2 linked regions of the Caenorhabditis elegans genome follow. The protein of the gene in region 1 purifies or fractionates together with the protein of each later gene. This does not show direct contact. Each region holds a gene or a part of one and is shown on either strand. Other genes may lie near its edges.

The links.
Region 2: the proteins of gsox-1 (region 1) and K02E10.7 fractionate together in Caenorhabditis elegans (co-fractionation; one large-scale study listed by BioGRID). This does not show direct contact.

Annotation. Positions count from the first base shown.
Region 1 is NC_003280.10:10,172,349-10,180,805, forward strand, and holds gsox-1 (C2H2-type domain-containing protein), read left to right. Parts: upstream 1-2,299; 5' UTR 2,300-2,325; coding exon 2,326-2,353; intron 2,354-2,581; coding exon 2,582-2,795; intron 2,796-2,847; coding exon 2,848-4,679; intron 4,680-4,958; coding exon 4,959-5,926; intron 5,927-6,121; coding exon 6,122-7,048; intron 7,049-7,096; coding exon 7,097-7,156; intron 7,157-7,206; coding exon 7,207-7,314; 3' UTR 7,315-7,692; downstream 7,693-8,457. Other genes in the region: gpd-4 (Glyceraldehyde-3-phosphate dehydrogenase 4), read left to right, coding at 1-57; WW domain-binding protein wbp-11, read left to right, coding at 577-949, 998-1,112, 1,160-1,323, 1,370-1,411, 1,547-1,932; srd-1 (Serpentine receptor class delta-1), read right to left, coding at 7,851-7,934, 8,058-8,133, 8,454-8,457.
Region 2 is NC_003284.9:2,500,035-2,507,110, reverse strand, and holds K02E10.7 (Protein kinase domain-containing protein), read left to right. Parts: upstream 1-1,953; coding exon 1,954-2,178; intron 2,179-2,745; coding exon 2,746-2,865; intron 2,866-2,910; coding exon 2,911-2,971; intron 2,972-3,164; coding exon 3,165-3,280; intron 3,281-3,333; coding exon 3,334-3,501; intron 3,502-3,820; coding exon 3,821-4,057; intron 4,058-4,113; coding exon 4,114-4,347; intron 4,348-4,399; coding exon 4,400-4,465; intron 4,466-4,516; coding exon 4,517-4,684; intron 4,685-4,729; coding exon 4,730-4,852; intron 4,853-4,899; coding exon 4,900-5,014; intron 5,015-5,553; coding exon 5,554-5,750; 3' UTR 5,751-6,124; downstream 6,125-7,076. Other genes in the region: rabr-1 (RAB family), read right to left, coding at 6,461-6,559, 6,631-6,728.

The sequences.
Region 1 (8,457 bases):
TATGGATACTCGAACCGTGTTGTCGACCTCATCGGATACATCGCCACCCGTGGATAATTCTATCAGGATCTTTTATGTATAATCCATGTATTTCATAGCTATTTTTTTTATTACAGTCATCATTGAATAAACCTATTTTTCTGGTGAAATCTAGTACTTTTGTCGTGATTTTAGAAAAAGATTGAAATGACTTCTAAAGTGAATGTCTATTGGAATTCGAGACCTAACCTTTAAATTTAAAGTTGCTTCGCATTTTGATGGTGCGAACGTGGACTATTGATAGTGTTTTGTGGTGCGTTGCGGGCTAAACCGCGACGCCTCTGACGATCTTGCACCCAAATAAATTAAACGTATTTTTCTGATTAAAATTAACATTTCGTCTAGAAAAGCTAATTTTGCACTCATTTGAAAATAATAGCATCTTTCTTTTTTTTAATGAATCCATTTCACATCCATTATCTGATACAAATTTTATTCTAGATGTTTTTCCTAAAGCTCCTCATTTTTCGAATATCTGTATTTAATTCGTTTTTTATTTCCAGAACAGCTGTCCTAAATCATGTTTTTTTTTCAGAAATGCCGTCCATCAGTAAAACGAAAAGCGGGGAGCGCTATCGAGCGCCTACCGATCAAGCTCGTAAAATGGATCGAAAAAAGGAAAACAAGAGAAACAAAAAAGACAGGCAGCAAATAAGACAAGCTATGGCGAAATACTGTAATCTGGATGAGACAACGAGCAAACTTTTGGCATTAGAACGGCAGATCCTTGGATTAGATCCTCAACCGTTCCATATCGATGTTCTCAGAAAGAAGCAGAAAGTGCTGACAGATTCGATTAATAAAAGACGGATGACATTGCAACAGGGAAAAGAAGACGCTGAATTAAAGAAGTTTAATGACAAAATCAATGCATATCAGTCAGATTGTCAAAAACTAGCTGTTCTTGCTCGTAAGTATCATTTTTCTTTTTTTTTATAAATCACAACGTTCATTTTAGAACAAGCTCGTCTTGCCCGCGAAGCTGACCCGGACATGATCCCCTTACCAATGGGAGATGTTTCTACTGCCGGACCTGAAAGAAATAATCAACTACTTGCTCCTGCTATGATAAAGTATGTTAAATAAGTTTTGAGAATTTAAATTTTTAATTATTTTTTAGACGTAAAGTGGAATTTCAACTTCCTCCTAGACCTGTTCGTGTAGCTGGACAAAAGCCTCCTGGGCCGCCTTGTGGATTGGCTCCAAATTTCAGTGACAGCGAAGAAGAAGAAGAGGAAGTGCACGATGATCACTATGACGACATCGATCTTGCGCCCGTACCTAGTAAGGAGTTAATTTCTTAACGAAAGTAATTTTTGAAAAATTTCAGTTCCCGAATTCGACAACCCGTACCAGCCAATTCATAGAAATTGTAAGTTTTTATAGGCCAATTCCAACATTTAAAATTCTTACTCCCTTTTGTCTGGAAATTTTCAAGAAATTCCCACATTAAAAAAAATGTAATAAAAATTATGTTTTGCAAATAAAATTATGTTTTGATTTCCAGACGGACCTCCATCCTCATATAACTCAATGCCAACCAGAATGCCGCACCATCATCACCACCATCACCCACATGCGAGTTCTCATTACAATCCAATGGGTTTCCAAAACCATCACGAAGAAGCTGTTATTTCGTCGGCTCCACAAATTAATCGCAGTAATGAACCTGCTGCTCCAGCAACACTTTCTGCTGCTCCTGAACTACGAAACTTACGACGAGAAACTGTCAAATTAGTGCCGGCACAATTGCTCCGTCGTCCAGGAGACAACAAGACTATCGTCCCACGACAAGCGGCTCCAGTACAAAGGCGACCGGAGGTTCAGAAGCAAGCAAAAAATACCGATGAAGCTTATAATGATTTTATGAAAGAATTGGATGGTCTCATTTGAATTTGGATACTGTTACGAGTTTTCTTTTTTAATTATTGGCGTTTAAAATAAAAAATTATTTCTAGTTCCACGATATTATTTTCAGATTAACTTTTCAATTGCTTGTTGTTTAAACATCAAATCGCTTTGATATTATTTCTAATAAAAAACGGGTATCCCCGCAAATACGTTCGCAATGTTCGCAGAGAAAGTCAGAGACGCAGAAATGCAAACAGTGCGAGAGTGTGCGTCGGCCATGAGAGAAACGAGAGAGGCATCCGAGTCTCCCACTTTCTCTGCCGGTCTCACCACGATCGATCGCGGTCTCGCAACGCTCTTCACTTTACAGTTTCCATTCAGCTTTTCCTTTTAAAACTGTTTCTTCCAGGTTTCGCCTGAATCTCCTAACTAATAATGACAGGCAGAGGCCATTCCTTGAAAGGTTAGTAAGCAAATAACAGAAAAGTATCACAGAAATACAATTTCTCGCAGAAAAGGTATTGCGAAATCAGAATAACTTTGAATTGAAGATTTTCAAAACATTTTCTTTAAAAACGGAAGATTTACAGTGATTTTTGAACAATAGCAGAAAAACTGTAAATTTAATTATTTGGAAAAAGCATGGCAACTTTATTTGTTCTTCCAAAATTAAAAAAAGCCAACTCTACAGGTGTAGCACATTCAAATCCCGATAGTTCTTCCGACAGTCGACGGGGCAGAGGGCGAGGTACCCGTAGATCGCAACTTCCGACGACAAGCCATGCCGATGAGCAATCCGAAGAGCACGAATTCAGAGAAGACGAGGATCCAGAATTTTTGAATGAAGATCACGAAGATGATACTTTGGTTGAAGGAGATGATAGATCAGATATGGATAAGATTAAGTGAGACTTAATTTTTAAATCGAATGCTTATTTAATCAATCTTATTTTTCAGGCAAATTCAACAACAAAAAATGATGATTGTCACACCGATGGCTCAGAAACGTACACGTGGCAGACCACCTAGACAGAGGACTTCAAGCCAAGCTCAGATGCCTGACGATCTCATGGATGAAGAGCTGATGAGTCAAGATTTGTTGGAATCTGGCCCACTGGAAGGTCCGGGATCGTCTGATCGTAAGCCTGCGCCTCCTGTGCTGGTTGGACGAGGCTCGCGGGCTCGTAATGCTCCGAAAAAGCTGAACGATTTTGTGCAGCATCACCAGTTAGCGAATAAAAAGATGCAAATTCAAGAAATTTCGATTCCACTCCCACTTGCTCCAAATGCGGGAATTGAAGATAATATAGAGCCACTTATACCAAATGATGCTCACATTGAGGAAGTTCGCCACGAAGTTGTTGAAAAAGATGTTGTGAAATCAGTGATAGAACGTGATCGAGATGAAGATCAAGAACAAGAACATGCGTCGGTGGCCGATCCAGCTGGTCCTCCTCCGGCACCAGCACACCTTGCGAACAAAGCCAATAGTAGAGGCCGTCCAGCAAATCCTATTCCACCACATCGACGTCCTGTGCCGAAAGATCTTGTTCCTCCTGGCTTCCCGAGTTTGAAGCGAGCAAGTTCTCAGAGAGATCCTACACCAATTAAGAGGAAGGACACAAGGGAAGTCGCTGAAAAAGTGCAAGAATCGCATAGGGATCCCGAGCCAAACGATGCTCCACCTTCGCCACTTTCAATGTCAGAAGTTCCAATTGCTGCACATCAAGTTGAGATTGAAGATGAAGTAGTGCAATCTGGATCTCCGATTGATATAGTGACGGAAGTGGAATCCAATGATGGTCCTCCACCAATGCCACCGATGCTCCTGCAGCAGCAATCATCTCAAGCTTCTTCGTCTACTGTACCATCAGCTTCTCAAGGAGTTACCGTACCATCCACTGCATTAGATGCCACAAAGAAAAAAGAGCGTGAAGCTGGAAAAGATCTCCCATCAGAACATTTTCCAAAGGAGAAAGCTCGTCATGTTTCCACAAGAGGACTACATCCATACGTATCCGATAAATCTCATATTTATGACGTACGAGATCAAGTTCTTATACATCCTGAAGATATGGAACAACAAGAACAAGATGCAATTGCTCAGCAAAGAGTTTTGACTCTTCAGGGAGGAAATTTCATTGAAGATCGTATTGGTAGATCTGATTTAATGGAAGATGAAGAAATGAAAATGATGAAATCAATACAACCACAGCAATATATTGTGGAGGAAAATGGAATGAATGTCGTTTATGAAGTTGATCCGAATAGTGTTATTGAAGAAGAAGAACAAGTAGAAATTCAAGCAGCAGAGCAACAAGCTGAGCAATATGTGATGGATGAGCACAGTAAGCAAGGGGAGATGGAAGATGAAGAAGATGACGATCTTCCACCACAACTTGTCCCAGAAGGAGTACCAGAAGATGCAGTTGGAGATGATGAACGTGACGAACAATCACAAGAGAAAGGTCTGGCTGTTGATGAGGATGGTAATTTCGACTTTAATATGATGGACGAAGGTGAAATGATTCGATTGCAATCTCCTGGCGGAAGAGCACACGAAGTGCGTTTTGCTCGAGATGTTCATGGAAATTCAGTGTTTATTGATGAGAATGGGCATATTGTGGAACTGGTAACCGATACAGGAGCACTTGTGGAGCCGCATAATATGGTGGAGCAGGAACAGCAAGTGATGCAGGAAGAGGTGGAACAAGAAGATGTTAAGAATAAACAACAGATTCGACAACATCAGCAGCAGCAACAGCAAGAAGTACCAGGCGGCCAAGAAGGTGAGCTTACACTGAATAACTGGATAAAGGTGGACTACGGCCAGTTGGGAAATCATTGAAACCCATTCAAATATAATGCTAAAATTAACTAATTTTAAATACGCTAAAAATTTGATTTTTTTCGATTTAGCAGACCTTTTTTGATTTCAAATCAAAAAAATTCCAATTTTTTAAGAAAAGTTTTACGATATTTACTTATTTAGCATCATATGTATGAACGTAGTCCACCTTCAAATGTGTTTTTAGTTTCAAAATGCTAGCTAAAGAAAAATTTTGCAGGAGCCGGCCCTGTGGATCGTGGAAATTTGGAATTCAGCTTTCTGGACACGAATAATATTTGCTGTGGCCTTTGTGGAGAAATAGTTGTCTATGATAAACTTCTCACGGAGCATCTTCCAACTGCTCACCCTGAATATCTTTCACCTGGAGTAGAACTTGAAGAAGTCCCGTACGACAGTTGGCTTAAAACACGCCTGAAACAAGAGTCAAAGATGATGGAGAACGGATTTCGTCACTATGATGATCACGATGGTGGTGGATTTGGTGGAGCTGTCAGACTCTACTCAAAAGGAATTCGACAAATGAGAAAAGTCAGTCAAATTCGTGTAAATGTCAATGAGATGACATTGCCGCAACTGGAAGTTGCTCTGAAAAGAAAGCTCGTCGAGAAAATGGGAAGAAAAGTTCCAGTTTCCCTGGTAGATCGACTTCACGCAAGATGTGATATCTGTCAAGCTGTGGTGTCATTAAATAAAAAATTCGAAGTAATACACCTCGTTCGTCACTTCAACGCGTGGCATCCTGCAGAACATCGATGCTCTCAGGATTGGCGGGATCCGGGATCAGCGACTACTAGCACTTCAAGACGTCCACTTTCACTGAGCGATTTTTCTGTTGTTAGCACTGAATCCGCCGATCAAAATAATCTGCAATGCATTTGGTGTGGAATGATGATGGATCGATCAGCGCTTGGAATGCATTTCTCAGAAGTTCATGCTCAACAGATTGCGGTGCCTAATTGCTCGCTGTGCCTTCAGGAGATGGTAATGACTGCTCGATTAATGGAGAAATACGGGGAAGACTTTGGAATTAGTCTTCCAGATGAATTTCACCTTCAATGTTCCAAACTAAATGCGAAATACAGCTCGGAGAAAGCTATGGATAAGGCTATAGACAGACATTTGAAAAGAGCGAAGCCTGGAGTTGATCAACATGATCCAGATGATTCGCATGAAGATGCAGAAGCGGTAAGAACATTGGAAGTAGTTTGTAGCCGATTTCACTAAATTCTTAAAGATAAAAATTATTTAAAAAAAGGGAAATTCTCGATTTTAAAAGGCGCACTTTTCTGCGTCTCCATAATATTAGTTTTAATTATTTTAACAGAATTTCATTTTTTTAGTCATTTTGAATCTCAAAAAGCAAAATATAGTTTCTTTCAGATCTGCACCACAAACAGTCAACAATCATTTGGTCGCCGCAATCGTCTGAAGCGAAAGTTTGTAAAACCATGCTTCCGACAAATCTGTCCCAATAATTCATCGTATTTCGAACCAAAATCTGCTTGTGAATGGAAGTGCCGTCTCTGCAATCGTAACGTTTACGGTGCTGTAATCTCTGCTGGAGCTATCAAGCACTATAAAGAATTCCATCCAGCCGAAACGGAGCATATGCAATATGAACTTGTCAAAGCACGTTTAGAGCGAATCGGTGATGGATCCATGGAGTTTGTTCATCCACAATTGGTTGAATGTCTGATTTGTAATCTAACATATGCTCTTCATAAGCCTTTCAATATTTGTCGTGCTATTCGCCATCTTCGTCTCAAACATCCTGAAGTGATGCCTGAAACTGCTGGAAAGCCAATCAGTGGCGCTGAAATTTCTGAAACTACTGACCTTCAAACTACAATCAGACGACCTAATATTCGATTTGGTGACACTATTACGGATCCAATTGAGCTGGAAAGATTCCGAAAAGATAATTTCGATCAGCAATTTGACAAGGTCCAAATTGTCTTTGGAATCAAGAAAAACAACGAGCCAGCTTACATTTTGCTTATGGAAAATGAGAAGATGGATTTAAAAATGGCACAAGAAATGGCTGGCAAAGTGCAAACAGAGGAAGATACTTCACAAGAAAGTCGATTCGATAGATTAGTTGGAAGAGATGAAACTCCACAATTCGAGGAATCTGAACCATCTACAATGTTCCGCGAAGAAACCAAACCGATGGCTCTTGAATTCCCACAACAGATTGTAGAAGAAGAAGTTGAAGAAATGGAAGAAGTTCCAGTGGAGACTGAGTTCATTCCAACATATGACGCCAATAATCCGGATCATGTGCTCATTGATGAAAATGAAATTATGGTATGCTTTGACTCCTGATTTTCTGATATTTCATTGAATTACTTTCAGAACGACGGCAACTACGAGATGATCCAGGAGGGCGAGTATCAAGAGATTGAGGAAGATAGAGTATGTCTTAATTTTTGGTTTAATTTCAAAAAACATATATTCAATTTCAGACTGTCCGTTACCTCACTGAAGATGAAATACGTGAAGCTCAGGCACGTGGAGAAATACTCGAATTCGAGGAAGGCGAGTATGTCGAGGAATATGCCGTGCAGCAATGATAGTCAATAACGACTTCTCAATTTTTGTCATAGATTTTTATTTGCTTTTTCTAATCATCATTTCTTATCCCCTGGGTTATGATATTTTAATATCTAGTTTTTTCATTCTTTTACTTTGTTCCAAATTTGAAATTCCTTTTATGTTGACCTACATTCTCCCATCTTTTTTATTACCGGTCCAGAAAGTGTTAATGACACACAGCTGTCTACACTATCTGGAACGGTAATATCGTGCCAAAGCGATCGTTCCGTGAACACTGCAATTCCGTACAGTCGGGACCCCTTTTGCAACTGTACACAGATCGATCGCTTTGTCGTTAAAATAACCTAGTTACCAATTCAATACCCCATCCAATATATGAATTTAATTCATGTTCTGCATTATTTGATCAAATCTTGAAACATTTATTCACATTATGTACAGAGGAAATATGACGAAAAACATCTAATCTACATGTGGGAAAATGATGATTATTAATGTATTCAATAGGATTCTTTTTTATATAAATATTAGTGATTCATTCAGAAAAAGGCGTTCACACTTTTTCGGTTTTAGCAGCGTCGTTGTTGGCTGATTGCTGTGCCGGATTGGTTGGTTGCTTGGGTGGTTGGTTGAATTTCTGAATAAAAAGCAAAGAGGTAAAAGGATAGAAAACCAAGTATTTTGTGCAAGAGAAAATTAACCCAAAGTGTGCATCGATGAAACTCGAAAATAAATAAAACAACCGAAAAAAAAGATTTACCTCGACAACACTGGAAACCCGATTCTCCTGTTTTCGGTAGATTCCTGTCTTTGAAATGATTCGGAGAAGTCCCTCTCTGAAAATTATCTCATTTTACTTATCAATAGTTGCCAAAATTTTTCATTTATTGAGCCAATAATAATGTACTTGGTCTCGACACGAAGTTAAGTGCGAATGGTGTGCGCCTTTGAAGATTACTGTAGTTCCAAACTCTCGTTGCTGTGGAATTTTCAGTGACTTTTCATAGTTTTTTGATAATTTTTTTGAAGCTACAGCACTCTTTAAAGGCGCACACCTTTTTGCATTCAAAAAAAATTGTCGTGTCGAGATCGGGAACCGTCAAGTCAAGACCCGGTACCGTGCCCCTTCGTTTGACTTGTACTTTATTGTAATTACCTGT
Region 2 (7,076 bases), on another chromosome or scaffold:
ATATGAAATCTGTATCGCCTTAGCTTTAGGGTACCTCCAAGAGCCACGAACGCCCTTACGAACAATGAGAAGAACTGAGGTGAAAGATCTTCGCCACAACTTGCACCTTTTTTTGCACGTATATTAAGCTGTTTTCTAGGAAATTCGTGGATCACACTTCAATTTTGTAATCATGCTTCCCGCTACTCCTGCTTCTCAGAACGATGTGAAATGTGCTTGTGGCATTGAATTTTTAGTGAGAGTTCGAAAATCCTCTTGTGAGTTGGAAACGCATAAAGACATGCTCCCATCTGTCATTCTTTCTTTTTTTCTACTCCCCCCTTGACCCGTCACAATTTCCGTTGCACTTTCAATGTCTCTCATCATCTTCATTTTTATCGAAGCAGTCATTGACCCGAATGTTAGATTACTTGATTACTCACTTGCGCTCACGTTTTAAAATTTTGTGCTTGAAAATGTTTCTGCTCTAACTATATAATTTGTATTCAAATGTACCTTGAAAAAGCAGAATCAAAATAATTATAGGACACATGAGTCAGAATCTATTCCAAACATCAGTGCAAGATAAGCTACATTCTTGAAAGAAGAGAAAAATGTTAGTGCTCTCTTAAAAGTGCATCCGCATCATCCCTCTTATTTGGCCAGCAGCCGTCGTTAGCCAAGACACACAAAAAAGTGAAAGAACTATGTTTTACTCATTTCAATAAAACAGCCTTCTTTCTTCATCAACCCCGCCGAGTATGCACTTTCTGACTTGATCCCATCGTCATTCGCACATATGCTTTTGAGTTCAATTTTATTTTCTCTTGTTTTCATTGCTTTATTCTTTAAAATAGTGCGGTTTGCTGAAATTTGTTTGGTACTTGTGTATTATATCCCCACCATTTTAAATGAATATTTAAAAGTATTAAAAAAATATTCCTATTTTCCTATTTTTACTTTAGCACAGTAAGTAGAAATTTTGAATACGATCAATATTTCTCTTCTTGTAGCTGGAATAATTGCTGGGTAGCACACTCAAAAGTTTATGTCGTCAAACTAACTTTTCTAGTAATTTGTGAAAACTGCGCAAAGTAAAAGTATGGCTGAATTCCTAAAGAGCTGAAATGACCAGATATAAAATTAAACTTTGCAAAAAAATTTTTTATTTTTTATTTTTTTTTGTTTCAAGTTAAATGAGGTAAACCCTAGTTATGACCAATTTTTAAAATTTATATTGGATTGCATTTTTTACATTTTCTTTTTTATTTCCGTTCAACTTCCTTGTGTTTTTTCGCGGGTTGGAGCATTGAATGTTGATGTGTGCTTTTTCACCGTGCTTCACACAAAATGTAGGCGGAGATTTTAAAGTGGAAAATGGTGAAGAAGCGCGCCGTCACTATAGATATTCGTTGTGTTCTCAAATATTTCCTGAACAATGTCCCCGCACTTTAGAATTTTGCGAAGCGAAAAGTGCACATTTTATCTCAATATTATATCCAAGGTCTTAAGTAACTTTACTAGTTCTGCGTCAGCTACAGTAAGACGATACAATTTCTAATCTGCTTCTAATCTGTTTCTTGAAGCGATGTTGAGCACAGAATTCAAAAACGTCTCATTTTGTCGAAATTAGAGTATTAATCATGAACTGAAACTGAAAAACTTACATTTGTGTTTTGATACTTCTATGCCCTAAGTTCAACTTTGCAACAGCTTTTCGTAATCTTTTCTACTGAAGCTGAAAAGCTTGCATTTGTAATCCATCGTTTTACATATTAGAAATACGACAAATTGGTGCTAATAGGATAGATTCGTTGAATAGTCATTATTTTCATCGTTCAAAACCACTCTATTTCGCTATTTAAACTCAAAATCAAGTTCGTTTAAAACTGGAGCACGAGAGAAAATAATTTCTGATTTCCGTAACAATATTTGCGTAAACTAGCTTAAAGTAATATTTACTAAAACTTTCAGATGAAGATGGAATGTATGTTCCTCTCAAACCAAGAATTAGACATACCCATGGAACTCCAAAAATGCTGTATGTCCATTGACCATGCATCTGAAAGTGTTATTGAAAGACCAGTGGAACTAACGTGCCTGTCCAACGTCGTGAATGGGACGGGAATCAGTGACAAAATCGCATCAGGTCGTTTTGGTACAGTCTTCTTAGGAACTATTACGGATTCAATGTTACAGGTATGTACAAAAAAAATTTTCGGCAAACGGCAAATCGGCAAAATGTAGAAATGCAAATTTCCGGCAAATCAGCAATTTTCCAAATTGCCGATTTGCCGAATTTGCCGAAAATTGTGGTTTTGCACATTAAAAAAATTAAAACAAATTCCTCTAAAAATTTCCGGCAAATTAATAGCCGGCAAACGACAATTCGGCAATTTGCTAAAAATGAAAATTTCCGGCAAATGGGTGATCAGTACATACCTTTTTTAACTTTTATAATAAAACAATGTAAGGAAATTACGGAATTTATCATCAAAATTTCTTAAAATATTGCATATTCTGCTGCTAAACCCCTGATGGACAGCTAAAAAATACACATTTTTCACTAGTGTTTCTATACAATTATATGTATTCTTCAGTTCCTTTTAGTTCAAAATACCTATAGAGCTTTGGTTTATAATTATTTTTAACATTTTTTGCACACGCTATTAAAAGTGCAATCCAAGGTCAAAAAATTGAGCAGGTGTTACAACGTTTGACCGCTTTCAGCTGTTTTAGTGTCGTTATTTCAAAATTGAATTCAAGGTTGCAATCAAAGAGTATCACGAAACATTTCATGATGCCGTGCTAACTGCACACGATGAAGGCTCCACTCTTCAGAAAATAATTTCTATCGAGCATCCGGCTATTGTACAGACTTTCTCGGTGACTGATATTTGAAATTTTTGTACTTATTGTTTTTTTTTTCAGGTTTCTCATTTTCAAGATATAGTGTATAAAGTAATGGAGTTCCATTCTTGGACTTTACACGGTAAGGCATGTATCAAAAAGTTTCAACATTTTCGCTACTCCACCACTATAATGTACTTTTCAAAAATAGAGTTAGTGAGTAACATTGATTAGTTGCAGAAAAACGTGTGTACTTCGAAAAAATTGATCGAACGAATAGTAGGATTACTTTCTACTATTGTATCTTTTCATTCTCTAAATGTTAATCTTTTCAGACGACATTTTGGACAAAGGCAAGTACGACGAGTCCCAGACTAAGCTTGTATTGGTACAAGCCACAAGAGCTCTCGAATATTTGCATGCACAAAATCTTTGCCATGGGACGCTTCATGTAAGAAACTCGGAAAAATTAGTGATATACGCAATAGGTCAACGATTTTGCAGACAAAGAATATTTTCTTGCAAGAAAATATGGTCAAAATTTCGGATATTGAAAGCTCCCAATTTTTGAACTGGCTCCCATTCAGCCAAACACCACTGCACATTCTTCCATTTATTGCTCCAGAATTGCACAATCAGTTATCAGAAGTGACTTCTGAATGCGATTTATGGGTAAAAACTACTCTTATAGTGCTAAAAGGACCAAATATCAAAGTTACACTTTTAAAAAAACTTGGGAAGTTTTTTAACAACTGTCAAAAAGTGACAATTACTTAGATTTTGCCAGTTATATTTTTGGAAGTCAACCAAAAAAAAAGTTCTACAATATTCAACTTTATATTAGTTTAAATTGCTCGTGTAAAGACATTCTGGATTTTCTTAAAAGTTCAAAATCAGCACCTTGCCAAAACTTTGACTGGAAATTCTTAAGAAATCTAAAAAATGTTTGGAGTGTAATAAATGTACTTAAACAAAATCCCCATTTATTCAGAGTTTGGGTGTGTGCATTTTTGTTATGGCTACTGGATCTTGTCCGTTCATTTTGGAAAGCCGCAACACTATGATGGAAAGTATTCAAGCTGGTATCCTAGGTTCCCCCGTTCTTGCCAGTGACAAAATTCAATCGCTAGTGGAACAGCTGATTCATGTAAACCCATCTGAACGCATGTCACTTAAATCTTTAATTGAAGATGATTGGATGACTTCTGACCTAGTTTGGAACTATTTTGTAAGATTAAAAAAAACCATTTCAAAACAGCATTAGCTACTATAATAGTATTCCAGATTTCATGTCATGAAGATCTCATTAGAGAGTTGCCAGTAGTTGATAGATTCATTCCGGCAGAGTCCCTGGAAAAGAGCACAGTTCAGAGAGACGGCTCAGAAATCTCCATCGAAACCTTAGATGAGGGCTACAAAAGTGTAGCATCAGATCATCCAGAAGAGCCAGCTGTCTCTGGAGAGCAACAAGTCTTGACTGAACCTGTGCCAAAAAAATATCACAAAAAGTTTGCAGTGGTTTGTGCACAAATTTTTAAATGGTGTTCAAAAAAACAGAAATATTTTCCAGTTTGCAATGGAAAACGTCCGTAAGGAGTGGGACAATGACATCACTCGCATTGAGAAATGCAAACTGGTATGTTTTTTTATTTACGAATTACGATGAGAACGAAACTGATATTTTCAGAGAGACGGAAGCATGTGCTTGAGAATCGTCATTCCAGCAAAAGATGAAATTGCCTCTTCGTCAATTTTCAATCGCATAATAAAAAGCCGTTTGGGTCAGACGATCAAGCGCTTCCGATCACATCAAGATACTGTAGTTGATTCGGATTTTGGAGATTACGCACTTATGGTAGGATATAATTATTTTTGTCATCTTATGGTTTTTTTTCTTCAGAACTTCCGCAGAGAAAACACCGAGATTGAAGTTGCTCGAAACATGCCAAAGTTCACGAACAAACAGCAAGTTCAGCTCTACTATTGCAAAAAGGAAGCCGAACGTGTCTGGGAAAATCTGGCGGTGAGAGTGTTTTGTTTGGGTAGTTTTAAAATCTGTATGATTTTCAGATAAAAATTTGCATGCGATGTCGAAGAGCTGGAACTGATGCTTTGAATCACGACGAGGATAAGTGTCTTTATAAGCTGATTGCAGAAGCTGTGGAGAGTGAAGAAGTGATTTATTGTGAGTTGGAATTTAGATAATAATAGAAATTCTGATTTAAAAAAAATGTTTGAAGTTTAATGGCTCAAACAGAGTTTCAGAATTAATAGTGGGGAAAATTATTAAAAATCAAATTGCTAAAAATGGCTAAAATTGCTAAAATGACCATTTATCAGTTACTCCACCTTTAACAACATTCCGAAAAATATTTTTTTGTCGACTACCGTAATTTCAAGTTTCTAATTGTTTTCAAACACAATTCGTCTGCAGCAAAGATTTCTAATTTTAAACCAAAAATGTCGAGAGCATTGTTTAGCTATACAACGAAACGTTTCAAAATATTTTGGAAAATTGGTTGTATGTTCTAATTATATATTATAGGTTCAAACCAGTTACATTGCTTTAGATTTATTGAAAAGTGGCCAACATAGTGAGTTTCACTACCTCTTGAAAAATGTTCAAAATTTTTTAGAAAAAATTTGTTATGGTATTTGATCATTTTAGCATCATAAGAATGGGTTTCAATAATTTTCTTATTTAATGTTGCTATGTCGTTTCAGATGGCGCAGAGGATCAATTCAATCTCCGTTTCTTCTCTCTTGTCTACAGAAATGACGGTGGACGTGCATCCGCAATGACTCGCTTCCGTAGAGGTTCAATAAGAGTTCTAACCTCTGGATACCGGAGAATTGTGAAACGTTTTCGACGACAGTCAACTTCTGGATCTGGTTCTTCTGGGTTGGGTTCGGACAATTGAAAATAAAAGTTTAGACGAGATTTTTGTTTTCATAAGTTCTAATTTTGTTTCTATGTATCGCTTTGTATGTAAATGACATTTTTTGCTCTGTTAATAAGTTGAAAGCGTGCAACCTTTTCGAGTAATTAATTCAATTCAATGTTCAAAAGAAAATCGATTTCTATTATTCAATTAAAAAAAATTTCTACCCATCTCAATATATGCACATTTTTCCAATTTCTCATGATTAATTGTAGCTATTACTGCGTTGTACAACACATTCCAAAAGTAATATTTTTTCGTATCGTATGCTGCAACCTCATATCCATATATTCCATCTCTCTTTTTTCTCTCTGTGAATTGTATAAAAATAAATATTTGAAAATTACAATTTATCAATCATAATAGTAAATTTAAACTTAATACCCGAAATTGGAGAATTCAAGATAAAACATAGTGACGTTCCAATGACGTCATGAAAGTGCAAATGACCAATGTAAAAAAAGATGATGAGGGAAAAAATATTGTGCTAACAAGTAAGAAGCATACAAATGTTAAGGGGGTTTTTTAATTGCACCACATAACGGCAGAGCACCTTGAAATGGTTTTGACAAGCACACTTAAAAATAATTAAAGCACGTTTAAAAAAAAAGATTATCAAATGATCGAAGTGTTTTATCGAGATTGTGATGAATGACTAAATGAATGATATGTTTAAGTCAAGGTTTAAATCAGACAAAGGCGGGTTCCGGAGCACTTGCACAGCATGATGTGAACTTCCCTTTATCGCTTTTGATGACTCCGTCAACGTGGAAGGCCGATGAAAACTCCTAAAAATGGCATATTTATTGAAAGATAATTAGCATATAAATTGCATCCGGATATTGTCTGTCTTACTAACCTCGTTGTCATCCGACTCATCCGAATGCATACTGCCAGCCGTTATTCGTTCTCTCATTGCAGCTGTCAAAGTGTGAAATGCTTCTTCGCAGTTTATCCCTGGAAAACGACAATCAGTGTGGAAAAAATAAATCTTCAAGTTTCCGTGTTTGTTCTCACGTTCTAGAGGCGGAAAAGTGCCAGTGAGAAAATTTAAAAAAAATCACTTTCTGAGAAAACTATAGGACTTTGGCATGTTCAAATCCCTACAATGTTTGATTATTTATTATCGCAACATAAGTAGACCATAATAGTAAGTCAACTTTTAAAAACAAAATAAATGTAGAAATACATTAAAAAATACTTGATTAGTCTAAAAATAACATTTAAATTCATTTAAAATTTTCAAAACTTACAAAAACTTAAAAACTGTCTAAAACTTGCCAATTGCCAAAAGAATTTGCCAAA